Rhinolophus ferrumequinum: one gene and its partners. The protein of the gene in region 1 interacts with the protein of each later gene in a pairwise test. Links are inferred from orthologs where the notes say so. Each region holds a gene or a part of one and is shown in the gene's direction. Other genes may lie near its edges. The genes, in order: NCK2, LRRIQ3, TRIM41 and PAK1.

Region 1 (7,039 bases):
ATTTCTAACGCCACCACTTAAAACCTAAAGCTACTTCTGCTTCTCCGAACATGTTCTGTTTGGTACTTTTCATATTTAGCTTTATATTGTACTCATTTATATACTAGTCTTATCCTTCCTCTGAGATTACAACTCAGGTTATCTTTGTTTCTCCTGAATTGATTCTTATGCTTTACAAATAGAAATATACTCAATATGTTCAATTGAATTGAGGGTTAAGATCGAAGGCCAGGAAACAGCTGATGGGAGTGTTTACCATGTGTTAAACACGCAGTCGAGACATGTTTACATTGTCTCATTTAATCCTCACAACTCTGTACTTCGCTATCCCAGGCCCAGAGAGGTTAAGTGATCCAGATTCGCATACATGTAGGCTGCGGGCCTCTCAAGAATGGCTGACACAGTGCCTTCAGCCTCACCTTGGGCTTCCCGTGAGTCCAAGGAGAGGTGAGGGCGGCTTGAATGGAACTGAAGGAAGAGAGGGGCACAGGGAATCCCTTGCTGTGTCTGCACAGTTGGAGGAGGAAATCAGTGTGACCAAGTGGGGCACATACAGTAGGGGTTGCACAGTGACCCAAGCAAGTAACTTATATTGGGGCAGGGTAAACCAAGAGATGGTTATAGAAGGACTAAGTTTGAGAAGCCCTGGGAGATAAATCTCAGGATTTAACGCGGATGTGACTTGGGGGGAAAGGTTTATATTTTTTGTACTTTCAATACTTCATTATTGGAGACATTTTACTAGTAAAACAAACATGGGCATAGTAAGGGAAGAGGATGCATAAACATACACATTTTCAGATCAAACATCATCTTCAAAGAAATGTCTACCCATGCTGGTCTTGTAGTGGGTTGAATGGTGGCCCCAAAAGATGTGCTCACCTGGAACATGTGAATTCAACCTTATTTGGAAAAAGGGTCTTTGTCGACGTTACAAGGAAGAGTCTGGAGATGAGATCATCCTGGGTTTGAGTGGGCCCTACATCCAATGATAAGTGTCCTTATAGGAAGACAGAAGGGGTGAGAGGACACACAGGGGACCAGGACAGATGAAGACAGAGGCAGAGATTGGAGGGATGTTGCCATGAGCCAAGGAACACCTGGCGCCACCAGAAGCTGAAAAAGGCAAGGAAGGATCCTCCCCTGGAGCCTGCAGAGAGAGTGTGATTTCAGACTCTGGTCTCTAGAACTCCTAGGGAATACATTTCTCTTTTTTAAGCCACCCAGTTGGAGGTAATTTGTTAAAGCAGCCCCAGGTAAAGAACACAGGCCTCCTGGCGCTCAATTCCTCGGCCTTCCTCGGAGCACAAGCTCAAGCCCTGTGCTGTCAGGAAACTTTTGAGAAACTAGGTGGGCAATAGGGAGCCATGGGAAGTTCTTGAACAGTGGAGGGGCAAGATAGAAGCAATTTTTAGGATGACATTGACATCCAGTATAAATGTGGGGGAAGGGAGGAAGTGACTGATAGGAGACCAGGTGGAAGGTAGTGGGTGTAGTGGAAAGAACAGGAGTTCTGGAGTACGTGCAGTTCTAATTCCAGCTCCTTCACTTACCGTTTCAGTTTTTTTCATGTGTAAAGTGAGGATAATACTATTTATTGTGTGTGAGTTAGAGCTGATATATGTATTCAAAACAGATTGTAAGTATTGTTAGTAATCATGTAAAAATTAGGAGGTGACATTGGAGATGGGAAGAAAGATGCAAAGAGATGTTTAAGAATCACCAGGACTCGGAACCATAAGAATTGAGATTGAGAGAGATCCCAAGGTCAGCTAGAGCCCTCTCCTCACTGACCTTGGGGAGTGCTTGGAGAGAGGGACGGAAGAAGAGAATGGAAATGAGGTTTCACCTGGGAGCTGAGAAGCCTGGTGGATTCTTGGCCAAGCCGGAGACCGTGGAAGGAGGAGCTAGTTTGGGAAGGAGATGTGTTTCATTCTGAGTGTGATGAGCTTGAAGAGATGATGAGCCACGCAGACGGGCTGTAGATAAGCTGGCAACAGACCTGGGAGCCGGAGACATCCAGACTGGAAGCATACAAAAAATGATCAACTCTCTTTTAAAAAGAAGGCGTACATCAGAATAAAAACAAAGGGCCAAAGTCTGCTTTGGGGTATTACTGTTAGAGGTTGGGAGGAAAACATGTCTTGTAACTGGACAGAGCTGGGTGGGTCAGAAAGGTAGATAAATGGAAAGATAACCAAGTTTTAGGAAATAGCACAAATGCCCTGTGCTTCAGAAAACTTCATAGGATAAAGATTGAGAAAGGGGCATAGGGGTTTAGATAGAGAATGTCTTTGGTGACTTCACAAAGAATCAGAAAAGGAAGAGGAGTTCAAGACCCATGATTCAATGAAAGTTTACAAAGGAGACAAGTTAAAAACTGGGTCAATGTTGTTATACTTATTTTGAGTAAACTAATTTAAAATTGGGTCAGACCACTGATATCCTTCTGTTTTCCTTATCAGCATGAGAAAGGTTTTCCCAAAAGGATGAACTGAGGCAGCTTCTTTCCCAAGGTCAAACGGAGAAGGAGGTTGTCCCTGTTCCCTGATCTTGGGCCCATCCCTGCTCACAATGCACCTCCTTCTCTCTAGTGGCCAGTGGAATGCGCCCTGCTGCCAGGGAGTGTGCCAGGGACTTACATGGGAGCAAGGCCAGTGTTATCTCCCCATTTAGTAGATTTTAGATAGGTTAAGAAACACTTGTGCAAGGTTCCACAGTTGAAGAAGCAGATAGTCAAACACTAAACGGTGACTTCAAAGTCATACTGGCTCTACTTACCCTCTTCTGGTACTTCCTTTTGGGCACAAGGCAGGGGATGAGGGATTCAAATGATACTGTGATGCCACCTTGGGTAAATTGGTATTGCCTTAATAATAATGAGAAGCCAGGAGCCTAAGAAAGAATCTCATTAGTATGGATCCTGGCTACTCTGCCAGGAAATCAGAGTTATTTGAATAGTAGTGTTTCCTTTTGGGAAGCCATATGGGAAGGAGATTGGGGGAACAGACATCTGGATGCATGTGCCTGTGAAAGGGAACCTTGTGTCTGTTCCCTTCCTCTTGGGTTGAATCTCCCACGTTTGTGTATAGGTAATCCACTACGTGTGGCCAGGTGACCCGACCAGTCCCACTACCTTTTGGAGCCCACATTCCCTCAGCTCCTTACAGGAATCTGACCCATGGGTATGCTTGAGCCAGACACTGGAAGGGAGGCAGCAGAGATTGAGTTTCCTCTCCTCTTCAGAAGTGCTTCCGACACAAATGATGGAGTAAAAAAGTGTCTGGTTGGGAAAGTAAATAGATACAAGGCAAATAAATAAAAATGCCCACAAGCAATTACAGAGAGGAAGTGACATTTTTATGGAAGTCACTTTTCTGATGGACAACAGGACTGCTTTGCGTAGAGAGGCGTGGGAATGCTTCCGGGAGGGGGGCATCGTGATAAGAAAATCAAACAAACAAAAAGAGGATGGAAAGACCACCCACTGGTCATCGGAGGCTGGAAGTTGCTGCCTTTATTTCCTCTCTTGTTCCCTCACCCCACTTCTGCCCCCACCCCCGAGCGAGCCGTTTTAGGAGAAGGGACCCTTTCCTTTCCTCGGCCCCCACCCCGCGGTGCGTCCAAAGGTCTCCTGGTAGCCAGCCGGCCACGCGCCCCGCGCGCTATGCGTCCCCGAGCGCGGTCCTGTCCCGGTGCCGTTCTCAGTCCGGCCGCGCGCGGGCCCACAAGCTGCCCGCGCGTCCCCAGGTGGGTCTGGCTCCCGCCTGTGCGCGGGCGAGGCCGGCCCTTGGGCGGTGTCACCGCGCGGCTGGGAGGAGCGGCGGGAGGAGGGGAGGAGCGCGGAGGGGCGGGCGCCGCGCGCCGGGGGAGGGGTCGTCGCCACCGCCGCCGCCGCCGCCGCCGCCGCCGCCGCGGGGATCGTCAGGCCGGAGCCGCGCGGCCCAGCGAGCGGCGGGCGGCGGGGAGGCTTGGCGGCGGGAGGCTCGCGGGGCCCGGGCCGGCGGGGTCCGGCCGGGCCGGCAGCGTCCGCCGAGCGGCGGGAGGAGGGAGCGGCGCAGACAAAGAGCGGCGCCTGGGCGGGCGCGGCCGCCGCCCCGGGACCCGCGCCGCTGCCCTCCGGCCTCGGCGGGCGGCTGGCGGCAAGGTAAGCGCGGCCGGCGGCCTCGGGGCGGGGGCCGCAAACTTGGGCGGCTCCGCAGAGTTGGAGCGCAGCGGGCTCGCGGGTCAGGGCGCGCCCGGGAAGGGGCCGGGGGACCGGTCCCCTCCGCGCCCCACCGGTGCCCTCGGCCCCGCCGCGGCCTGGCCCGGTGGTCCCGCACTGCCGGCAGCGCCGGACTCCGCACCTTCCCCCTGCCGGCTCCCATCCTCCGGACGCCGGCACTGGGGTGGGGGCGCCAAGGGCGCGGGCGGGGGCAGGGGCCTGGGCGGTGGGTTCCCGGGACTGGAGACCCTCTGGCGCGCGAGGAGCGCCCGGCCTGCGGGCCGGCGACGGGCCCGGAACCGGGGGCCGGCGTGGGACTGTGTGGTGGCCGGGGTGGCCGGGGCGGGAGTCCCGGGGAAGAATAGCCGCTGATTGCCTGGCCTCTGCGCCGGGACGCGGGAGGCGGAGCGCGGCGGGGAGAACTTACTGTGTTTATTGGAACTATTTATGATCCCGCACAAAGCTGCTGTCACATCGCATAAAGGAGGTCCTCGCCTGGGCGAAGGGCGCTTTGTGCCGGGTCTCAGCCTGTGCGTCCTGCCCCAGATTTACAGGACTCTTACAGCCACCTGAAACAAAGTTTCTCACCACGCTCTGCCCTCTCGGTTTATTCAGGGCGATTTAACCACCAAGTGGTTCTGGGAGAATTTCGTGTGTGACTTTTAAGGCATTGACGGTAAACTCCTGTGTGAGCGTTGGTAGCATGTCGTTGTGTGGAGGGGTTTAGCTTGCAAAACGCTTAATTTGTAGACAATAACGATCGCCTTGAAAGGTTGCACGAGATGCCAGGGGTCATTGGCTAATGAACATCAGGCACCTAACTTTAACTAGAACCCACTGTTAACTAGCATTGTAACAGTTTCAGGGACAAAGCGCGAACGTGTGTGGAGTCGGCCCTTGTGGCTTCAGACAGTTCAGGTTGGCAGTTTCCCCCTTTATTTAGCTTTGTTTATTTTGCCAACAGGTTTAAGGCTGAATCTGCCAAGTTTGTGTCTGTCTGCACGATGGGGTGAGCAGGCCCCAGGGCTGGGACCCAGGAGCCTAAACCTTCGCGTAGGCCCACTCCTTCCGTTGACCCAAAAGGAAACTGAAGCCAGAGAGGCCCGTGGGCGTGGCTTACCGGGGCGCACAGGTAGGGGAGGCCTTTCCTGGTCCAGGCGCAGCCTTGGCTTCTCCCCTCTTCTCAGAAGGGATTTTGGTCGGAATGAGAGTAATTCAGGGTGTGTTTCATTGCATGGCATTTGATGTCTGATGTCATTAGCAACAGTGCTTCTCAAGTCTTAAAATAACTGAAAATTGAAATTGACCTGGGCTGCTTTAACTTATCAGAGCAGATGTAAACTTTGCTTCTGAACACTCCCTTAACTCACTTACCTAGTGCTCCTAGGTGAACCGGTAAATTAGTAACAGGATTCAAGCACATGTGGTAACATAAAGAGAATGGCAGTCAGTGGAGATACAGAGTAGAAATGACTTAGCCCAGAGATGGGGCCGCCGGGGATGCTGTTTTAGTGTTTGGAACAGGGATTTCCCGAGAATGGGTGTTAACCATGATAGTGAAGCAGTGACCACAAGGGAAAATCCTACCTTAATATTTCTCTCCTCGAGGTCGGTTAGATGTAGTCTTGTTTGAAGAAAGCAGTCGGATCTTAGTGGTCTTCTGGCTGCATCTCTTGAGGCTGAAATTAAGAGCTTCAAACTGTGGTAAGCTTCTGGAGGAGCTAGACTCAGCTTCCTCTCCTGGAGGCTTCACCTGGACTCTGAGCTTCTCAGGTTGGGCATAAACACTTACCGGGACTGATCATGGAACAAAGAGAAAATTGAGTGTGGCAAATTGCCATCAGAAGAATTGACTACTCTATCACCCCCTGTGCCCACTTGTGGAGAAACTGGCCCTTTTTAAATGGGCGGAGCTGGTTAAAGGTGCATTTCAAGTAGCTGTGCCCAGTTTTCAGGCTTTGAGTTCTGCTTTATTACGTGCAACATGCTTAAAGCCTCTTTATCTCTGATCTCTTGGAGCCTGCCACATTTCCAACCTCTGTCATTTGCGTTGGGGGGGTTATGGAGGTTTTGCTGCAAGCAGCAGGTCTTATGTACACAGTATTTGAGAAATGCCCTGTCATCCACATTAAATATACCAGAAGACTTCCTTGTATGTACACAAACTGGATAACCTTTTAAAGTACCCTAAAGACTCCCCGATTGCCCAAATGGCCTGAATCCTTTACTTGATCATTTGCATTGCTTAATTTGCCCTGGCAAGATGAGGCTGTGTCGCTTTCTGGGACACACACGCTTCTAACTGCCCCAACTGGCTTGCAGCATACGCTTGGGGAGAGAGGGCTTGTGGACACAATTCTCTGACTTTAAAAATAAGGCTGACTGACTGAAAAGCTGAAGATTGCTTGCTTGCTGGAACTGCACGGGAGGGCAGTGGACAATGTTTGGGAAAACTAGTAAGCTAACAATTTTTTTTTTTTTTTTTTTTCATAAATTAACTGGAAACTCCCCACAACTCACCCCAGAGGCTTGGGAAATTAGTTTTCCCATCTGGAGGGACTGCAGATGGGGTTTCCAAATTGTTTCCTTTACTAAAATGAGTGATGGAAACCCTTCATGGCATGTTTTCAAAGGGCCTCAGCTAAAAATGATACCATGTCGTGTGTTGTTAAATGCTCGAACTAAGGCGACTTAGAAGGAGGTCAACACATCCTTTTAATGGGTTATCACAAGTATGCAGTTAAAGTAAAAATAGTTTTTCTATTTCTTTAGGCCACTATGGTAACACAATTTAAAAAAATTAGATGTTTTTTTCTGCATTTCTCTTTGAACGGA
Region 2 (7,060 bases), on another chromosome or scaffold:
AAAAACATACAATGGAGAAAAGACAGCCTCTTCAATAAATAGTGCTGGCAGAATTGGAAAGCCACATGCAAAAGAATGAAACTGGACTGCTATCTGTCACCATGTACCAAAATTAATTCAAAATGGATCAAAGACTTAAGCATAAGACCTGAAACAATAAACTGCATAGAAGAAAACATAGGTACTAAACTTATGGACCTTGGGTTGAAAGATCGTTTTATGAATTTGACTCCAAAGGCAAGGGAAGTAAAAGCTAAAATAACTGAATGGGATTATATGAAACTTAAAAGCTTCTGCAAAGCAAAAGAAACCATCGAAAAATAAAGAGGCAACCAACTGAATGGGAGAAGATTTTTGCAAACAGTGCCTCCGATAAGGGGCTAATATCCAAAATATACAAGGAACTCATGAAACTCAACAACAGAAAAACAAACAACCCAATTGAAAAATGGGCAGAGGACCTGAAGAGACATTTCTCCAAAGAGGACATACGAATGGCAAATAGACATATGAAAAAATGCTTAACATCACTAGTCATCAGAGAAATACAAATAAAACCACAATGAGATATCACTTCACCCCAGTCAGAATGGCTATCATCAACAAGACAAATAGTAACAAGTGTTGGAGAGGCTATGGAGAAAAAGGAACCCTCATACACTGTGGGTGGGAATGCAGACTGGTGCAGCCTCTATGGAAGGCAGTGTGGAGGTTCCTCAAAAAAATTAAGAATAGAATTACCATATGACCCAGCAATCCCTCTCCTATGTGTCTACCCCAAAAAACTGAAAACATTTATCCATAAAGACAAGTGTGCTCCAGTGTTCACTGCAGCTTTATTTACGATGGCCAAGACATGGAAACAACCAAAATGTCCTTCAATAGATGAATGGATAAAGAAGTTGTGGTATATACATGCAATGGAATACTATTCGGTGGTAAGAAAAGGTGAAATAGGACCATTTGTGACAACATGGATAATCTTGAGATTATAATGCTAAGCGAAATAAGTCAGACAGAAAAAGCAGAGAACCATATGATTTCACTGATGTGTGGTATAAAAACCAAAAACAACAAAGGAACAAGACAAACAAATGAGAAACAAAAACTCAGACACAGACAATAGTTTAGTGGTTACCAGAGGGTAAGGGGGATAGGGGGTGGGAGATCAGGGTAAAGGGGATCAAATATATGGTGATGGAAGAACTGACTCTGGGTGGTGAACACACAATGTGATTTATAGATGATGTAATACAGAATTATACACCTGAAATCTATGTAACTTTACTAACAATTGTCACCCCAATAACCTTTAATTAAAAAAAAAATTATTCACATACCATAAAAGTCACCCTTTTCAAGTGTCAATGCAGTGAAAAATGTTTTAAAACAAAAACAATAACTTGGTTGTTTATCAGTACTTTTTCGTGTTACTGTGCTCTGTGATATCAGTTTTAAGGCATTAAGAGTAATCCATTGACTGTGTTGCGATATTTTATTTAGTTAAAACTACTTTTGAACACGTTTAGGATGAATCTTGTTTTTGTTATTATATACAATACTTAATGAATGTCTGTTAGCATTACCTTTTTTCATATCCATCATTTCTTTTATTTTACATTTATACTGTGGTATAACTGACATATTAATTTCAGGTATACAACATAATGATTCAGTAGTTGTATATATTGCAAAATGATCACCACAAAACATCTAGCTAACATTTGTCACCACACATAGTTACAAAATTGTTTTTTCTTGTGAGGAGAACTTTTAAGATCTACTCTTAAAAACTTTCAAATATGCAGAACAGTATTATTAACTATAATCACCATGCTGTACATTACATACCCATGATTTACTTATTTTATATCTGGGTATTTGTACCTTTTGAATCTCTTCATTCATTTTGCCTGCTACCCACCCCTTCCTCTGGTAACCACCAATCTATTTTTTTGTATCTATGAGTTCATTTTTGTTGTGTTTTCTTGTTTGTTTATTTGTTTTTTGATATGTATTTATGTACCAATGAAGTGTGAAATACATAGTCAGCTTCAGCTTTATATGAAGAAATGGGATCTCCGCTGTTCTACGTTGATGTGTGTTGGTCATTCAAAGGTTTTGTTTTGAGTTTATGAGCTAAATAATTTAACTTTTGTTACTGATAATGCATTAAGATTGGATCACTTGTAACAATTGTATCACACTAACGCAATATGTTGATGGGGGAAACTGTGAAATGGGGTACGAGGGAATATATGTGAACTCTGTACTTTCCTCTTAATTTGTCTGTAAATCTAAAACAGTATCTATTGATTAAAGAAAAAAAATCACTTGACTATAAAAAAGGAATAGAAAAAAACACATTTGTTTTATATATGACTGTCACTTTGCAGATTTCTCGCAGAATTGTTTTTGACTTTAAAAATTGGATTCTATAGCTAAAACTTCTGATCACAGCATTGTCCGTCTTGAATCATTTTTTCTTGTGCCTTAGATATGGTCTTTCGTAAGTCCTTGTTATAAACTGGAGTTACCCTACATTTAGGTCACTTTGGAAAAGTAGGTGTTTCAAAGGAGAGCCTGAAGAAAGACTTCTTAAGAGCTTTTCTAAATAAGGAGTCCAAATGATGGATGCATTTAGACATTGTCCTTCATTTCAGTAGCTACAGAGCTTGATGAGTTTGTAAAGGTTTATTCATATCTATTTATTCCATATCTGGTTCTTTATATTTGGAAGATTGGTTTACTAACAGTTTAGGCTAGCCTTTCTCAACGTGTCCATGGATTGCAGGAGTGTCCGAACTGCGGCCCGTGGGCCAATTGCGCCCGCAATCCATTTTTTATTGGCCTGCAGCAAATTCCAAAAATATATTTAGTTTACTTAAATAAACCAGGTGAGGCAATACATACTTCACCTCGAGTGAATGGCCCGGCTGTTTGTGTATTTTACTGCATATGGCCCTTGGTGAAAAACGTTGAAAAAAGTTTGGACACCCCTGAGTCCTAGAGGCATGCAAAATTACAAATTCCTTGGCCAGCAGCCCAGAGACTCTGATGACATAGATATGATATGGGGACCAGGAAATGTGCCTGTTGATTCATTTCTTAGGTGATATTTAGAGTTTGAGGATTATAGTTGTAGGCCTTGGCCAGGACATAAAAAGTACCCAGTCTTTTGAAAGAGTGCAAGGGTTTATCTGGATTTTCACATTAATTCTTATTTCCCCCATATGGTAGAAATAGAAATGGGGAAGATGGTTAATCTTACCAAACGCACTCAGATAGGCCACTGGAGCTTATATATTCTATTTTAAACTATCACTGGGTGACTGGCTTTTATGAAAGCTGAAATTAACCACAGTAAGAGAAATTTCATATATATACGACAAATACTATATAAAATTATGTAAAACAGCTCTGATCCAAAAGTTTTAGACAAACTTAATCAGTCAAGTTTTGAAGCTATTAGAATTCTAGATCTTAATTGCCTAATTGAATTGAACATAAATATAATGTGATTGCAAATTATCTCTTCAAGAAATAAATATAACAGTTGAAGCCCTGTATTCCACCTTCATTTCATTTAGCTGCATTTTTTAGCCTCTCCCACAAAAGATTCCCTTTTCCTGTCTTGGGAATTCATCATTCAATGCATTTCTTTGTTCAGCAGTATTTTTTAAGCAAAATTATTATACAAAGTATGCTAAGGTATAGTTTTCTTTGTGTTTTTTTTTTCAGTTGTCTTGCCAAGAGGCGATGTTTATAGTGCAGCTCTTTCATTGAATTCCATCCTCAAAGTATTCTAGGAAAAAGGAGGTTTTTCATTTACTGATTAGTTTATTGGTGAGGGCAATGATACATTTTGAGATGTAAGTCTTAGTAGTCATTTAAGATGCTTTGGGATAGAGGTTTTATGGGAATTCGTGGTTTTTTTTTAAATAACTTTTCTACCCATTTTTATTCTTACTATCTATTAGCAAACATTTTTATTTACATATAGAATTAGTTTGGGAAGTTGAAAAAGCTTTTGATAGCAGTCTACCATTTTTTTCTAGATGTTTCATGGAACCATCACAAAAGAGCTAACCAGTCATGAAGAATGGAGTCACTATAATGCAAACATTATAGAAGATCAGAAAGATTTTGTTTTTGTGAAATTCAGTGGTCTTCATTTAAAATCTATGGAAAATTTGCAATTTTGTATCTCTCTTAGAGTATGCATCTTCTCAAACAATTTTATTACGGATATTCATGCACTTCAAAATTGTATAAAATTAGTCAAACTTGATCTCCATGGAAATCAGGTAAGCACCAGCCATTTCAGATATTTGCATATAAATTAAATTATATTTAATAAGCATTTATGTTATCTATCCACAATATTTCTCCCATATAATCTTTTATATAATATGAACAAACATTTAAACATAAATAAAAATATGAAATGTATAAATACAACATTTAAAATATAAGCAAACTTTTAAATTAAAAGTGTGTGATTTGTTTTATTTTACTTCTTAAATCCATAGTCTAGATTAGGAATACTTCTTGACTCCTGAGTTCTGTTTTGATGACCTATAACTGACATATAACATCATTTTAATTTCAAGTATATAATGTAATGATGCGATATTTGTGCATATTGTGAAATGAACACCCCAGTATTCTACTTAACATTTGTCACCACATAGTTACAAATCAGTTCTGTAGTTACAGTATTTTCTTTCATTTGGTCAGTTGCCCTTTCATTTCAGTGGTGGTTTTCTTTTGCTATGCAGAAGCTTTTTATTTTTATGTGGTCCCACTTGTTTAGTTTTGCTTTTTATTGCCTTTGCTCTCGGCGTCAGACTCAAAAATAAAACACCGTGACCAATGTTAAGGAGCTCACTGCCTATATTTTCTTCTAGGATTTTTATGGTTGCAGGTCTTACTTTCAAGTCTTTAATCCTTTTTGAGTTAATTTTTGTATATTACAAAAGATAGTTTCATTCTTTGGCCTGGGTCTGTCCAGTTTTCCCAGCATCATTTATTAAAGAGAATGTCCTTTTCCCATTGTATATTCTTGGATCCTTTGTTGTAAATCAATTGATCATATATGTGTGCATTTTTGCTGGGCTCTTTATTTTGTTTCATGGAACTATGTGTCTGTTTTTATGCCAATAACATACTGTTTCATTACTATAGCTTTGTAATATAATTTGAAATCAGGGAGCGTGATGCCTCCAGCTTTGTTCTCTCTCAACATTGCTTTGGCTATTCAGGGTCTTTTGTAGATTTATACAAATTTTAGGATTGTTTCTTCTATTTCTGTAAAACAAAAAAAGCCATAGAAATTTTTCATAGGGGTTGCACTGAACTATAGAATGCTTTGGATAGTATAGGCATTTTAACACTCTCAATTGTCACAATCCATGGTCATGGAATATATTTTCATTTATTTGTGTTTGCTTCAGTTTCTTTAATAATGTCTTGTAGTTTTCAGCGTACAGGTATTTCACCAATGTGTTGCATCACATTGTTCAATTTGATTTTTTAATTCTTTATATAAGGAAAGTATTTTAGAAAACTTCAGAGAGGCAGCCTATTACAAAGGAATTTTTACTGAACAAAGTATATGTTTACTCATTTAATTACACTAATAATGATAGCTTATTCCAGATGTCCAGTGTATTATGTTTTTACACCAGTCATCATTTGGATAATTAGAAATTCTGTTTTTATTTATTGATAAGAAATTTGTCACTTGGGAAAATACTGAATTTTAGAAGATGTTTAATATATTTTAGTTTCCATGCAATTTATAGGAATTTTATATTTGTATTTAAAGTATTATTATTCATAATATTTCAGGTAAAGATTCTACCAGATACCAAATTTTGGAGTGGATTGAAGAACCTAAAACTTCTCTATCTTCATGACAATGGTTTTGCAAAGTTAAAGAATGTATGTATGTTATCTGCCTGTCAAAGCCTCATTGCTCTCACTATGTTTGATTGTCCAGTAAGTCTTATAAAAGGATATAGACATGTTCTCGTCAATAGTATATGGACTCTCAAAGCGCTGGACCATCATGTGATTTCTGATGAAGAAATAATTCAGAACTGGCATCTTCCTGAAAGATTCAAAATGTATAACCAACGGCTTTTCTTTAATTTCTCCCCTGCTTTGAAAAAGGTACATGCTTTCATTAGGGATTGTTTTAAGTAAATTTATAGAAATACATTTTTAGCTTCTCAGGATTATGCCTAAATTATATAAAACTAGTATTTTGCATCAGTTATGTAAGATACCATATAGTAGTGAATACATTAGTAATGTGTTATGTCTGAAATTTTAAAATGTTTGTATGTTTACTGCATGAAAATTGTTGAGCAGAAAAATGTCAAATTGTAAAGAAATATATATATATACACACACACACACACACACACACAGATATATATATATTCATATACATATTTGGTCTCCATTATGTTTTAATAGCTTTAAGGATATATAGCTTACATACTGTAAATTCCCCCATTTTACATGTATGATTCAATTATTTTAGTAAATTAACAGTACTGCATAACCAACTCCAAAATCCAATGTTAGAAATTTCCACCACTCCAAAAGTTTCTCTCATTCCCATTTGCAGTTAATCCCCACTCCCAACCCCAGTCCTAGATAACCATTGATCTGTTTTCTGTCTCTATAAATTTGCATTTCTAAACATTGTATATAAAGGAATTATACAATATGTAGTCTTTTGCATCTGCCTTCTTTCAGTTAGTGTGATGTGTTTGAGGCTCACTCATGTTGTAGCATGAATCAGTAGTTTGTTCTTTATGATTGCTGAGTAATATTTTATTACATGGAATATACTGTATCTTCTTTGTCCATTCACCAATTGATGAACATTTGGATTAATTTCAGTTTTTGCTATTATGAATAATGCTGCTATGAACACCTACTTACATGTCTTTATGAATATACATAAGCTTTTGTTTTTCTTGGGTAGATTCTCAGGAATGCAGTTGCTGGGATGTATGTTAAGTTTATGTTTAACTTGTTAAAA
Region 3 (6,880 bases), on another chromosome or scaffold:
CTTCTTTCTCCTCTCATCTAAAGCAGAAACCTGGGAGCCCCTCTCCTGGTGAGGGTACGAACCATGCATCCAGCTCCTTCACCGGCTGCTGCCTCACCCCTGCACCAGCCACCTTTTGTCTGGACTACATCTGCCCTTCCAGCCCCTCTCCCTGACACAGCCTCCCTTCCCTCACACCTCCTGCTCATCATTTCTGAAGGATCTCTCTAAAATAGAAATGAGAGCGAGTCCCTTTGCTTCTGCGGCCTTTCATTACCACTCTTGATAGAGACCAAAGATCTTACCAGGGTCCCATGCTTTTGCTGAACATCTGAACTGATGACATTGACTCCTCTATGCCAAGAGCAGTGTAGGTCACTTACTCGGAGGGGGATTTCAAACCGAGAGCCTGGCGGGCGAGGCTGCGGTGGCATCTGTGGAGGAGAGAAAAGCAGGAATTGTAGCAAAAAGCTCCCGGGAGCCCTCAGTTTGTTGGGAGAAAGGGAAGAGAAGTCTGTCCACTTTGTTTTCCCTTTAATGAGAAAGCAGCACTTTTTTGGCAATGTTTCCCAGTCACGATGGTGGGGGGAAAAAAACAAACAAACCCTGAAACCACAATTTGCAAACAAATCCACAAGCATTTGTGCAAGACGAAATGTCAAAGTTCACACTCTTCCAACACCAGCTTGTTTAGACCCATATGGTCCAAGATAAGACCTTGACGACAGTAACTCCCCAGAGACACATGAGCCAGGACTGAATTAGCAATTCTGTCTATTTTACAGACTCTGACCAATTTCTCAGAACTCCCTTGCTTCGACACACTTCTGAGACTGAAGGCAATGCTAGCTTAGCAAGGTTAATAAACCAGCTTTATATGATCAGCAGAATTCTCTTAGGGTCTGCTGTGTATGTGGGGAGAATTCTCCAGCTGGAAAATAGAAAATGGGCTGAATTTTTAGGACTAAAGAAACAATCAATAAGAGGAATGAATTTCAACTGAAGTTAAGGGAAAATTTCATGACAAGATCGGTAAACTGAGGATGTTCCTGTTACATCCTTTATGTGTGGGGGGAATGCAAAGGCTGGAATGTGTGGGGCAACATTTTGCAAAAGATCGACGGCTTAAAAATCGAGCATAAAGAAAACACACTGAAGATGAGGGTCGCACACCAAAAGACACTTCTTTCTTTACCCAACATCAGAATCAGGCGGTGGCGGTGAGAGCGCAGAATCCTGACTTCTACCTACACTAAGGTGCTACCATATCAGAGCTACGGTTTGGACGCTCACGAACGTTCAGGATGGATTTGCAGTCCCATCACAGCTTTGGGAAGCTACGTGTCCAGTGCAACTCGTCGGGACACCCGGGAGGGTCATCAGGTAAACAGAAGACGCCTCATCAGTGGGCAGTAGTAGGTGGATTTTAGCAAGTGCAATGGCAGGAATTTGTTCCCCTCATTCCTGCCCTAGGGCTGGGTGCATTCCAACAAGGGGTACTATAGTTCAGCTATTGGCAATCACCTGTCTAGCTCTGACACCTTCCTTAACCAAAGGAAGGAAGAGCACAGGAGATGCCTTTGTATCAAAAGTTCATTTCTCAAAATGACCACCGCCCAACGTGGGGCTCGAACCCACGACCCTGAGATTAAGAGTCTCATGCTCTACCGACTGAGCTAGCCGGGCAACTCTCTGAATCCTTCTATTCTGTCTGAGACAAAGATTCATATACAGTAATGTGGGCACACTTTAAGAAACGACTGACTGTACAAGTATTACGGAGCGCCCGCTGTGCGCCTGCTTTGTCCTACTCACTAGGCCCATCGAGGTGGGAAAGATGGCCGAGAGGAATTTGAGGGGAAGATCAAAAGATTAGCTGCGGTTCAAGACTGCGTTTACATTGCCAATACTTATGAAGGGTCTGCTGTGAGCGCGGCTCTGCTGCCCTCCCGCTTCTCCATCTGATTCCCGGAAACAGATACCGAGACACACACGCCCTTCCCTCCTTGTGAGGACCACTTCACCGGATGGTGGGATGAGGAAGTGACCAAAGAACTGAAAACTAGACCAAAAAGCTTGTTTCCGCCCGGTTTCGAACCGGGGACCTTTCGCGTGTGAGGCGAACGTGATAACCACTACACTACGGAAACCGTTGCTCCTAGAGCTTGACCGACACCACCCTGAATCTACACATAGTTCGGAATGGCGAGGCTGACCGAACCCTGTTGCAGCGGGACTGTGGGCTCCTTGCGCTGGCCCGCTGAACTGTGCCGCACTTCGCCGCAGCTCCTGGAATAGTCTACTATAGTTCACCCACGAAGTTTTGGCACCACACCCCTAGAAAGCACAGGTCCACTTGGAGTTTCCCCACGAGGCAGGGGGCAAATTCTGTGTGCCCAGCCCTGGCATCACACAGCGCCAGCACTCACTGGGGATTCTGAACAAGAATTACGACCCTATAACTTCCCCCGCCAGTTTTTTTTTTTTAAATGAAAGGACATATTTTTAAAAAGCATTAAGTATTATTTCTATCGCACAAGTCTTTACTAATAAACTTCTATCTACATCCCGGATACGATTCTCTCAAGTAAATTTAATACCACAAACAAAGTCTGAGCCCCTACTCTTAGGGAACCCAAGAAAACAGATCTCGAGGTATTTTCTTCGCGGAGCAGGCGTAGTACACAACTCTAGAAGTGTTGAATTATGGCATTTAGAAAGTTTTTTTTTTCCTTTAAGTAACGCTGATTTGGTTCAAAATTCAAAAGATATAGAATATCATATACGAAAAAGTGTCCTTTCTATCACGGACCCTCAGCCTTCCCAGGGACCCTCTGCTCCTACGGTATAGTATTCTGCCGGAGACAGATGACCGCGACGATCATAATGGGTAGCTGAACCTTCTATCTATGTGCTAAGCAACATTCTGATCGCTTTGCATAATATTAACTCTAATTTCACAAAACCTTCTGAGATAGGAACTATTACCCTTATTTTATATGAGTAAACTCAGGATTACAGAAACATCAAATACACTTAACATCCTCTCATTCTCTTTAAACAGATGGTAGTATACTCAACACACTGTTCAGTACCGTGCTTTTTTCACTTAATAACACAGCTTGAAAAGGATTCCTTTTTACAGCTAAAGCGTGTTCCACTGTGAATGTGCATGCAATAACTTGTCAGTATCCCTTTACTGATGTGCAGTTAGGAAAGTTCTTCTAAATAATGAGACACTGACCGGACGGCAGTTCCTGAAATAGGTGTGGAAATGTCAACTACAGTGCGGAGGAAGGGGAGGATCTCCGGTCCCACTCCACCACACTTCTTCAGGCCCCTCCCCCGATCGTCTCCGAGGGACGTTCCGAGTCCTCAAACAACAAAGTCCTCCGCCTAGAAGGGCCGGAAATACTTTACGGTGCTCACCCGGACCCGCCCCTCCGCTTCCGGCATCGGCTGTGGGGAATCCCTGCTGCAGTGGTCCGGGTCCGGGCGGTAGGATGGCGCCGGGCCGATGCGGTCATAGCACCGAGAGCGGACGATCGCAAGGGCTTCCACTGTCTCCCAAAGTTTATCCCCGGTGGTGGGGGACGGGGGGGGCTGGTCCTTCTGTTTCATCTGCGTTCCCCGCTGACCCGCACCACAGAGAAGTGGGCCATTATCATTCTAGCCCTCCTGTCCTGTTCCCGAGTGTGTGCTAGAGCGTCTCCTCGCCGTTTCCTGTCGTTCGTGGGCCCGGGGCGGAAAGGGGGCGTTAGCGCGACCGTGGAGGGAAGGCGGGAGCTTGCGTAATTCGTAGGCGCCGGAAGTGTTGGGAAGGAGGCCGGAAGTAAAGGGGCGGAGCCAGGAAGTGAGGAGGGGCGGGGGTTTATGAGGAGGCCAAGAGAGCGTTGGGGCAGATTTGCACTCAGGGCCACCTGAGGGACTTGGCGGTAGCGCTCAGCTCTGTCCCCTCCCCTGGCAGAGACACGATTGTCGTCTGGGAGTGGGAAACCGTGGAGGGGTGGGTTGTCGGGAGGACATTTCTCAGGCTGCGCTTAAGGCAAGGTGTGAAGAGGCAGGGCTGGGGGTGGGGCCGGGTCGCCAGGGCGTCTGAGGGAAGAGCCCCCGCCCCTACCCCCACCAACCACCTACACTAGCTGACTGGAGACTAAGATGGCTGCCGTTGCCATGGCACCCAACCCTGTGCAGACCCTTCAGGAGGAGGCGGTGTGCGCCATCTGCCTGGATTACTTCACGGACCCCGTGTCCATCGGGTGCGGGCACAACTTCTGCCGAGTGTGTGTAACCCAGTTATGGGGAGGGGAGGATGAGGACAGGGACGAGTTAGACCGGGAGGAGGAGGAGGAGGAGGACGGCGAAGAAGAGGAAGTGGAGGCTGTGGGGGCCGGTGGGGGGTGGGACACCCCCATGAGGGATGAAGACTATGAGGGCGACTTGGAGGAAGAGGTCGAGGAGGAAGAGGAGGATGTATTCTGGACCGGTGGCATGGGCGAATCCAACTGGGACAACATGGACTACGTGTGGGAGGAGGAAGACGAGGAGGAAGACCTGGACTACTACTTGGACATGGAGGAGGACCTGAGGGGGGAGGACGAGGAGGACGAGGAAGAAGTGCTGGAGGAGGACGACGAAGAGGATCTAGACCCCACCACGCCGCTGCCTCCGCCTCCGGCCCCTCGGAGGTGCTTCACCTGCCCCCAGTGCCGGAAGAGCTTTCCCAGGCGGAGCTTCCGCCCCAACCTGCAGCTGGCCAACATGGTTCAGGTGATTCGGCAGATGCACCCAGCCCCTAGTCGGGGGAGCCGTGGGAATGAGCAGGGCGTTTGTCCCAAACACCAAGAAGCCCTGAAGCTCTTCTGCGAGGTGGACGAAGAGGCCATCTGTGTGGTGTGCCGAGAATCCAGGAGCCACAAACAGCACAGCGTGGTGCCACTGGAGGAGGTGGTGCAGGAGTACAAGGTGAGAGAACTAGAAGATGGGAATTTTGTGGGGGAGGAGAGGAAGGAAGAGGAGCTGGGAAAAGGAAATGTCTCCCTCCAAAGAGCATCATGTTCTAGTGAGCTGATTCTCCTTATCTAAGCACTTATTGGCACCAACGTGGGTTAGAGTGAGAAGGATCCTGTACACAGACAAAGCAGACACAGAGAAGACCAGGAAAGATTGGCTTTCTCAAAGGAAATTGTGCAAAGCTGGCAATGCCATGTCACTGGACTGTGTTTCTCCTGGGGGAAAGCCACTGCTGTTTCACACGTCCCAATGTCCCTAAGTGTAGGAGTGCAGGTGACAGGCCCTTAGGGCTTTACCACTGGTCTCATTTTCCTTTTGGTGAATCTTAAGCCTTTGACTGAGACCCTAGAGATGGGAAGAACTTGGGATCTCAAAGAACAAGAAAGGGCTCTGAGGAGCAGGAGCGTAGTAATGACTCCTAGTGTAGACCCAAATGCTCTGCATTTGCCTACTTTTGGGTTCCCTACCTTGTAATGTGGCTTGGTTCACTCCCTGAGGACTTTTGTTGGATCTGTGTCATTCAGATGTGCTGGCCAGAACTTCTGACCTTCCTGGGAATTGAGAAAAAAGGGAGAGACTTTTAAATCATAAGTTCTGGCTCTGCACCTATTCACTTGGGCAAGTCCCTGAATGTCTTTGAACTTTAATTTGTCCATGATTAAAAGTTAGTATTTACTGAAATATACTGTGTACCTCAGGCATTGTACTAAGCACTTTTCATAGACTATCTTATTTAAAAGAAAGAGCAATCCTGTGAGTTTGATATGGTTTCTATTCCCATTTCACAGACCGGGAAGTAGAGAGAGATTTAAGTAATATACACAGGCCGCACACCTACTAGTTATGACACCCCCCTCACACACTGTTATGACACCTCCAATACTGTTAACGACACCACTCTTTAGATGTCTGTTAGTTTGACTTTTTTGACGTGTAACTTCTTGGAGACAGATTCTACTTTGGTTAATATCTTGCCCCCTACTTCTGATCCTGACTTTTTTGGACATAGATAAAGGAGATCTGGCCCTGAGACAGCCAGCTCTAATAGCAATGCTTAGCGAAGTAGTGGGACCAGGAACAGGAGAGAGTAGCTTCCTTGTGGTTGGTGTAGAGCTTTTTTGTTTTGTAACTTCTGTTTTCATACTTGGGTTTTCATACCTTCTCCTGATTCCTACAATAACCTCATTTAGGTATTATCATTACCCCGATTTTAGAGAAACACGCCTAGAGCCTCTGATCTATCGAATAAGTGCTATAGCTAAGACATCTACATCCCCTCGTGACAAATTGACTAGACAATGATTGTCAAACTCCGCTGATTGTCTGAATTACTCATGGAGGTTTTCAAAACTACAGTAGACCCTACCACTAGAGATTCTGAATCAGTGATGGAGAGAATATCTTTAGAAAGCCCAGCCTAGTATGGGACTCAGTGCATTGGAAATATTGCCCTTCATTATTAGGGGAGATTATGAGCTCCTTTTGCCCTTCCCTTTAATATCCTCTCAGTTCCTAGTTAACTGTACCCATTAAACAATGTGCAGTCACTTTGTTAACTCGATCCCAGGGTGGAGTATCCATGGGCATCCCACTCCTTCACGCTCCCCCAACGGGACTCTTTCAAAGAGCTTCTGAAACGGGATTTTAATTTGTGTTAGCCACATCTGTTGAATGCCAGTCCAATCGGAGGTCACATAGACACAAATAATCCGACACTGACTGATCAGCAAATGTAAATACATAAGCTTTATTATATAGAACTAATTTGAGTGATTCTCTTTCTAACTTATAGGCTATTTTACAGTCAGATACTTTATTCCTTTCAGATACGTACATTGTACGTACATTAACTAACACCAGCTTGGCACAGTATTTTGTAGAAATATTT
Region 4 (7,660 bases), on another chromosome or scaffold:
CTCTCAGTTTGCAGGTAATCTCTTCCGGGAGGCATTCTGTACACTTCTCTGAGGTTCCCGCAGAAGTGAGACCCTCAGTGACACACTCTACATTGGCTTTCCCTTTCCCTCGTCTCATTACGGTTACCTAGGATCACCTCCCAAATAAACTACCTGCACCCAAGTACGCACATTTATCTCAGGTTCTGCTTTTTGGGAAACCTAAACTTAGGTAGTTGGTACCAGGATGAGATTCTGGAACGGAATCACTCACTGATCAGATGGCAACAAGGATCTATTGTTGATGATAATTGAGCAGTGCTGGCCCCTGATATGCTGTGCTATCATAACGAAGCCTTCAGCTGTGGTAGAACAGGTACAAGTGGAAGGAGTACTTAGACTAGGTAGTAGCTCTAGCACAGAGATTCCAACCTGTTTTGTTTTTTAATAGTGCTCTCTTAAAGAGAAAAATTAAACTTAAAGTATCCCAGGTGGGAAGGCGGAGGGGCAAAGACGTGAAGGTGATCAAAAGGTACAAACTTCCAGTTATAAGATAAATAAGGTCCTGGGGATGTAATGTACAGCATGGTGACTATATAGTTAATACTGTTTTGTATATTTGAAAGTTGAAAAGGAAGTAGATCGTAAAAGTTCTCATCACAAGGAAAAAAACTTGTAACTATATGTGATGATGGATGTTAACTAAACTATGTGGTGATAGATGTAAACTAAACTTTCACAATATATATCTACATACATGTATATCAAATCATGTACACCTAAAGCTAATAGTGTTATAGGTCAATTATCATAATACAAAGATAATACACTTTTAAGAAAATATCCCACAAACCATTGTAATATCTAAGATGTAGTTTTGCCCACCTCAGAACAAGTTTCACTTCCTTGCGGGGAGGTATCACCCCCATTGAGAATTCGCGCTCCAGCACTTGAATGATATGGCGGTAATGTTAATTATAATTTCACGGAATTGACTGGATTTTGTTAACTATTTTAAAAGCCTTGAAGAAAGTGATTTTCAGGCGCAGGTTATCCACCTATCACTTTAGGACATGGGATGAAATCCAGAAGACTTTCACGGAAGATTTCTAAAAAACCTTCTTCTCCCACAGCCGGAGAGCAGATCATGCTGCAAATCAGGCCCAGAATGTAATAGGGCCGAGATCCTTTGACTGTTCCCGTATGCTAAAGTCGGGGTTTCCATAGGTAGGGAGTGGCACCGTGAGGCCTGGGATGGAGACATTTGGGTGGATGCAGCTGAGAACCCGGTACCTTTAGCAAGTAGCTGCTCCCCCTTGTTAGCACAGAGCTGTCACCCTTGACTAGAGACTGTACTCGCTTCTTATTGCTGCAGTAACAAACTGCCACAAGTAAGGTGGCTTAAAACAAGGCATTCATTATTTTTATTTTTCTGTGGTTCAGGCTGCTTTTCGAGGGAGTATGTGGATATGTGCGTGGGGGTGGGGATGGCTTTCATTCCCTACACAAAAGTTAGACCCTCGGATCTATTCCTTCCCTACCTACTCATCCCCATTCCTTCCCTACCTGCTGGGTGTTCAGTGGTCACATCCTCCTATTTCAGTCAGACACACAATCATTACCTCACAGTTCTGTGGTTCGGAAGTCTGAAATGGGTGTCACTGGGCTAAAATCAAGGTGTCCGCAGGGCTCTGTTTCTTTCTGGAGGCTCCAAAAAAGGATCTGTCTTCTTACCTTTTCTAGCTTTTGGAGTGGTTTTTATGCCTTAGCTGGTAGCTCCCTTCCTCTGGCTTCAAAGCGTGGGTGGAGTGCTTCTCACATTCAGTCATAACTCGATCTGACCTCTTCTGTAGTCTAACCTACCTCTTCCTCACTCTTCCGCCTCCCTATTCCACTTTTAAGAATCCTTGTGATTACACTGAATTTACCTGGATAATCCAGAATGACCTCCCCATCTCAAGACCCTGAATTTAATCACACCTGCATAGTCCCTTTTGTCAGGGAAGGTAACATATAGGTTCTGGGGATTATCAGGATGTGAACCTTTTTAGGGAGACATTATTCTGCCTACCACAGAGACCATGCAAAAGCAATTTTGTTTAGGATTAATTTACTGGGTTATGATCTTGGGTTAACTCCTCTGTGCCTCAGTTTCCTCATCAATAAAATGAGGGGGAAACAGTAGTCTATCTCAAAGGCTTATTAGAGGTGTACAGGAGATAGTGCTTAGAACAGTATCTGGCACATGGCAAGTGCTAGGTTAGCATTTATTTAATACGTTTTTATAACATTTTATTGATTCTTACTATGTGTCAGGCACTGTTCTAGATACTGGGGATATGGATAGAATGGATAGAAATATGACGATCTCAAGGAGCTCAGGGGGTCGGATAGACAAATACAGTTACTACACAGTGTGCTACACGCCATGAAAGGCATGGAAGTACTATAGGATTACAGCAGTGTGAAGGCTCAGGGAAACTTAAGAACTATCAGTTGAATGAATAAATGAACATGACATTTGAGCTGGTGTGGATGAACAAGGGGCCACATACTAAACCTGACGAGCTCGGGAGGACTGCACCGCCAGCCTTACAAACTCAGAGACCCAAAGAGACCACATAGGATGATCTGAACATAAAAAATTCCCGACTAAAAGCTAGTTATGGTGGGTAGTCACGTCATTGGCCTGTAGCTTCCTTGACAAAGGTCAATCTTTACCTTAAGTGAGCCTGTCTGTTGTCTTTTTGGCATCTAAAATAACATATCTTTGAAATGTCAGAGTAATCCCCCTTTCCAGACGCCCCAGGGCACACCCACCACACCAAAGCAGGAGACCACAGAACCCCTCATTGTTATCCTGTTCCCCAATACCATCTTTACATGCTGTAAATATTAAGTATTTACTCTCCTGGACCCACCAATGTAAAAGAAGCATCTCTCTCCATTTTACTTTTTATCCAATCCCAGAGATTTCCCCGCTTTGCTTTTTCCTGCCCCCGTAATCTACCACCGATGGATTTCATGTAACCCTCCTTATGTCTCCTCCTTTGATTCTAAAGTATAAAATAAGCTCCAACATTGCTATTCTCTAGAGCATTTTCTCAGTCTGTTGAGATTTTGCTTCCTGGCCATTGTCAGTTCGGCTCAAATAAACTCACAAAAATTCTCTATAGGTTTGGACATTTCTTACGTTCACACTGGGCTTTGTAGAGTGAATAGGTATTGGCCAGTGAGATAAAGAGAGAAGGGCTCAGAGCCATGAAGAAATGTATGTTCAAAGAACATTAAATAGCATTTTGGTGTGGTTGGAACAGATTTATGGTGTGAGATGAAGCTAGACAGGCTGCTGTAAGTCCCAAGGTTGAATGGTACGAAAGGCTTCCAGAGCGTTTAAACAGGAGTGGCCATCATCAGTTTGTGGTTTTAAAAGGCTACTCTGGTCCCCAGTAAGAATGGATTGAATTTGGAGAGACTGAAAGCTGCTCTAGTCGTCTAGGTCATGGTAGTGAGTGAAGAGAAGGGCAAGGCCTTGAGAAATATTTACGATACTCTACAGGATTTGGTGACTAATTTGATAAGGGTCTCGAGAGAGGAAGAATAGGGTTATGTCCAGGTTTCTGGGACTGCTGGATGATGGTCCATTCACCGAGAGCAGGAAGTAACATTAGTTGCACCTTTGGGTGAAATTGGTAAGAGGTATGGTCAACATTCCAAACGGTTTCATGTGTGCTAAATTGTAGTTATTATTATTATTGTAAAACTGAGGCTTGGAGAGATCAAATTTAGGTACACAGGTAGTACTTATTATGGAGAAATTGTGACTTAGAAATGTTAAAGTCCTATCCCTGACATTTGTACAGCTGGGACTTGAAGCAGGACAATCTGATTCCAGACGCTTAGTCACTAAGGTTTCCGTTTTGGACATGTGGAATTTGAGGTACATGAAGTGTAAATGACACTGCCAGGAAGCGTGGGGAAACACAGAATCTGAGCTCAGGGGAAAGGTTTGGGATGAATGTATCCTCCAGGGTCGGAGAAAACCGAGAAAGGAAGCCCATTTTTTAAATCTCAGTACAAGATAGTTCAAACCTCCATTAGCACAGTATTTCTTTATCTCCTCTCCACTCCAAATAGTATAATAAATGTTTGGCTCTGAGGTCATAGGAGATGGGGTGGTTTTCAAATATCTCTCTTGGTAATGATCTAGCACATGCGGTGGTGCTTTGTAACCTGAAGAGGACCACAAGACCAGGGGGTTAGCCATCTTTTGGGACTTTTCCTACACCATTAACGCCCCCAGAAAGCGTCCCAAAATCTTCCAGGAGAAAGGCCATGCCAAAGGAGCCTGCAGCTGTAGACCGCCGGACCTGAGACGAGCCGCTGGTGCAATGACGTCATGCGGCCTCCGGGTGATTCCCCAGTCTCTGGCGTCATGCGCCGATGACGTCATCCCAGAAGCTCGCCTTCCCCTACGCTTGGGTTGGCAGCACTCACGTGGGTCTGCCCTGGCCTCCCCGCCCCCTCCCACCTGCGGGAGGCGGGGCGGGCGGGCTCTGCCAGCGCCGCTGCCTCGCCGCGAAGGGGGCGGGGGCCGGGGCCGGGGCCGGTGGGAGAGGCGGTCCCGCCAGGCCCCGCGGCGTACAATAGAGCGGCTGCGGGCGGGCGTGCGGCTGCAGCTGGAGCCCACGGTGCCAGCAGGCAGTAGACGACCCTCACGGCTTCCCTCGCTCGCTCGCTCCCTCCCCGCCGCCTCCCTCCCTCGCCGGCTCTGCGGTCTTACCCCACGGACGCTTTCCCTTAGACTCTCATCCCCTCTTTCACGGAGCCCCACTCTGCCGAGAGCCCCTCGAAGAACTGTCTTCGCCCCACCTCCTCCCCGGGAGGCTGCCCGCGCCCTCTCACGTCCCCGCCCCCCACCGCACCCCCTTCCCCGCGTCGCCTGGCTCCTTCCCTTCCCCCTTCCCCGTCGCTGACACCCCACCCCCTCGTCCTGAGGGGACTCCCCGGCCCCAGCCCAAGCGGGGTGGGGGAGGCGCCGAGCGCGCCGCGGCGGCGGCGGGAGGGAGAAAGTGCAGCGGCCCGTCGCGCACACTCGCGCGCTCACTCCCGGGCTCGGCCGCTGCCACCCGGGTGGAGGAGGAGGAGGAGCCCAGTCGAGCCGGGCGAGCGCGGAAGGTGAGAGCCGGCCGCCTGCGGGTACCGCTGGCGTCTCAGGCTGCCAGGCTGGGGTGCGGGGTGCGGGGGCCTGGGCCCCATTCATTCGCGAGGCGGGGTGGGGCGGGCGGGGGCGCCAGGTGAGACGAGCGGGGGCGTCGACCCGCGAGGTTGGCCGTTCCTGTCCGAGCAACAAAGGCTCCGTGTGCACTCATCCTCGCGGCTGCGGGTCTCACGCTGGGGGACCCAGGAGACCCCAGGGACCCGGGAGAGGACAGAGGCTGGGGCGAGGCCGGGAGACTCCCCAGATCCCCGTGTGGGAGCGACTCCGTGCTGAACTTAGCGGTCCTCCTGCGCTAACCGTGGCCGGCGCTGGGGAAGCCTAAGCAAAGCGGCGTCCGATTCGTTCTGCTTGGAAAAAGCACCCCTGTCCGGGAGGGAGGAATCACCTGTAGGGTCCCACTTCTTGAAAAATACTATAGGATAGAGCCTGACTTCTGCAGTCCCTCCCCCACCGCGGGAATACTCTAACTTGTGGAGTTAAAAACAGGGAAAGGATAGAGCTATTGTTATGTTCATTATTCCCTTTCAAAAGACATGATTGTTGCAACCTTTACCGCCTTGAATATTTTCTCAGCCAACATTGGTGGGAATGTTTTTGGAAGAATGCTTGAGAAGTTTTGGATGTTGGGAGCAAAGTGCTTGTTGTTTGTGAAACCCTTTGGGTAACTGTCGTACGTTCCCCACCCCCACCCCCGGAACTGTGAAAGGTGGTACTATGGTTATCAATAAAAATTCGAATTCATTAGTCTAGCCTTTAAGAATTGTTCCAGAGAAAAATCTTTAGTTTGCTTACTGTCTTTGGGCGCTCTCAACTTTGTCAGGGGAAAGCAGGAGGCAACAGTACCCAGATGCCTCACTGGTCTTACCTTGTGACTTTACCTACTTCCTGTGTGACCTTGAGCAGGTCACTTCCAGCCTTAAAGTTCCAGGGGTTTGCTTTTATGCCCTAGAAACAGGCAGGTATCAAGCACTTACTCAGCTTTCAAGACTCCACTGAAGATTTCCTCTCTCTTCGCCCCACTGCGAAATCGTTGCTAGCAAACACCCCCAAACTCTAATCAGGCAAATCTGACTTCTCACTGGGGCCATCAGAGGCCTGTAGGAGTTACCACAGCGCTTGTAACTTTTTCTTGTTCCTGTTTGGGAAATCCTCAGGTGCATATGAAATACACCTCATCTCAACTAGAAATTCGACTCAAAAAGGGTTTTGGGAACATGGACCCTGAAACATTCCCTGAAGCTTATTCGTACCCTTACCTGTATGATGAGCTCATGGGTCTGTCTGGTAAATTTGCTGATCCAGTCTTTCATTTACCCAATATTACTGGAGTGTGGAGAGCTGCTGGGTTTCAGGTTTTCTAGGGCTATGGGGATTCAGAGTCTATTAAGACATTCCCTGTCTTCAAAGAGCTCAAAGTCTAGTGGGTGAGGTAGACATGTAAACAATGGAAGCCTGCCCTAATCTCTGGGGACTCCAGCTATCCAGGGAGTAGTGTGCAATAATTGCGGCTGCTAGACCTGTTTTACCAGTCTTTTGGTCCTGGCCAAAGTGAGTCCAAAGGGAAGGTGGTGACCTGCCTCTCATCCATAAGACAGCACTTGGTAAAAGCTTGTTCAATTCAATTTAATACGCATGTACCAAGCATATGTTCTGAGGCCCTGTGCTAAGCTTGGAGGAAGCAGTGCTTTCTGAAAGGAGAGTGGTCTGTATCCAGAGAGATCTCTGTAAATCAAAACCCATCACATCATTTCTCCCTACCTCAACTAGTCCTAAAGATACATTTTCAAACTCTTAAACAGAATAAGAAGTTCTCAGAGATCAGACGGCTGCCTACCTTTGCAGCCTCACTTTTCTATAACTCCCCTGCCATACTCTTTCTCATCCTTGCTTTTGCTTGTTCTGTTCTTTCTGCCTGGAATGCAGGTCTCCTTACTCCCTACCTTTCTGTGGAGAAGTGCTTGTTGGACCTCTGAGAAGCAGTCCCTTAGTCTCTCTTCCTGTGACTTCCATAGGATGAGTTGCTCTTTTATTCTTTGGCTCTTGCACGTACCACTCTTACAGCACTACACTGCAATTATTTGATTTGTGCCTGTCTTTTCCATTAGTTAACCTGTGAATTTCTTGAGGGCAGGATCTGTTTAGTTTTAGTGCCTAGCAAAGTTCTTTGCACTGCATAAGTGTTTGAAATGAATGAATGTCTGAATGAAGAAGCAAGCCCATGAGATAGAGGATAGCCAATCCTTTGGGTTAGAACAATTAGCTCTAAGTGTGAGCTCTGCACCAACCACATCAACATAATCTGGACATTTGTTAGAACTGCAAATGAAAAATTCGGGGTTGGGGCCCTAAAACCTCTGCTTTAACAAGCCCTGCAGGTGATTCTGACACTTGCTAAAGTTTGAAAACTGCCGGGTTAAAAGATCTGCTTTTGATAAAACCAGCTCCTTGCCAGCTCCCTTC

What was found.
Region 2: the proteins of NCK2 (region 1) and LRRIQ3 interact in binary tests that used the Homo sapiens proteins (3 or more experiments, as listed by UniProt). The two-hybrid records come from large-scale screens. The link is inferred for Rhinolophus ferrumequinum from reciprocal best matches to the Homo sapiens genes NCK2 and LRRIQ3.
Region 3: the proteins of NCK2 (region 1) and TRIM41 interact in binary tests that used the Homo sapiens proteins (3 or more experiments, as listed by UniProt). The two-hybrid records come from large-scale screens. The link is inferred for Rhinolophus ferrumequinum from reciprocal best matches to the Homo sapiens genes NCK2 and TRIM41.
Region 4: the proteins of NCK2 (region 1) and PAK1 interact in binary tests that used the Homo sapiens proteins (3 or more experiments, as listed by UniProt). The link is inferred for Rhinolophus ferrumequinum from reciprocal best matches to the Homo sapiens genes NCK2 and PAK1.

The regions. Positions count from the first base shown.
Region 1 is NW_022680445.1:376,567-383,605, forward strand, and holds the start of NCK2 (cytoplasmic protein NCK2), read left to right. Parts: upstream 1-4,024; 5' UTR 4,025-4,147; intron 4,148-5,227; exon of another isoform or gene 5,228-5,336; intron 5,337-7,039. UniProt on the Homo sapiens protein: Adapter protein which associates with tyrosine-phosphorylated growth factor receptors or their cellular substrates. Maintains low levels of EIF2S1 phosphorylation by promoting its dephosphorylation by PP1.
Region 2 is NC_046292.1:54,865,502-54,872,561, reverse strand, and holds the start of LRRIQ3 (leucine-rich repeat and IQ domain-containing protein 3), read left to right. Parts: upstream 1-4,058; coding exon 4,059-4,307; intron 4,308-5,853; coding exon 5,854-6,177; intron 6,178-7,060.
Region 3 is NC_046307.1:4,183,903-4,190,782, forward strand, and holds the start of TRIM41 (E3 ubiquitin-protein ligase TRIM41), read left to right. Parts: upstream 1-3,856; 5' UTR 3,857-4,137; coding exon 4,138-4,944; intron 4,945-6,880.
Region 4 is NC_046294.1:51,809,374-51,817,033, reverse strand, and holds the start of PAK1 (serine/threonine-protein kinase PAK 1), read left to right. Parts: upstream 1-4,660; 5' UTR 4,661-5,157; intron 5,158-6,456; exon of another isoform or gene 6,457-6,568; intron 6,569-7,660. UniProt on the Homo sapiens protein: Protein kinase involved in intracellular signaling pathways downstream of integrins and receptor-type kinases that plays an important role in cytoskeleton dynamics, in cell adhesion, migration, proliferation, apoptosis, mitosis, and in vesicle-mediated transport processes.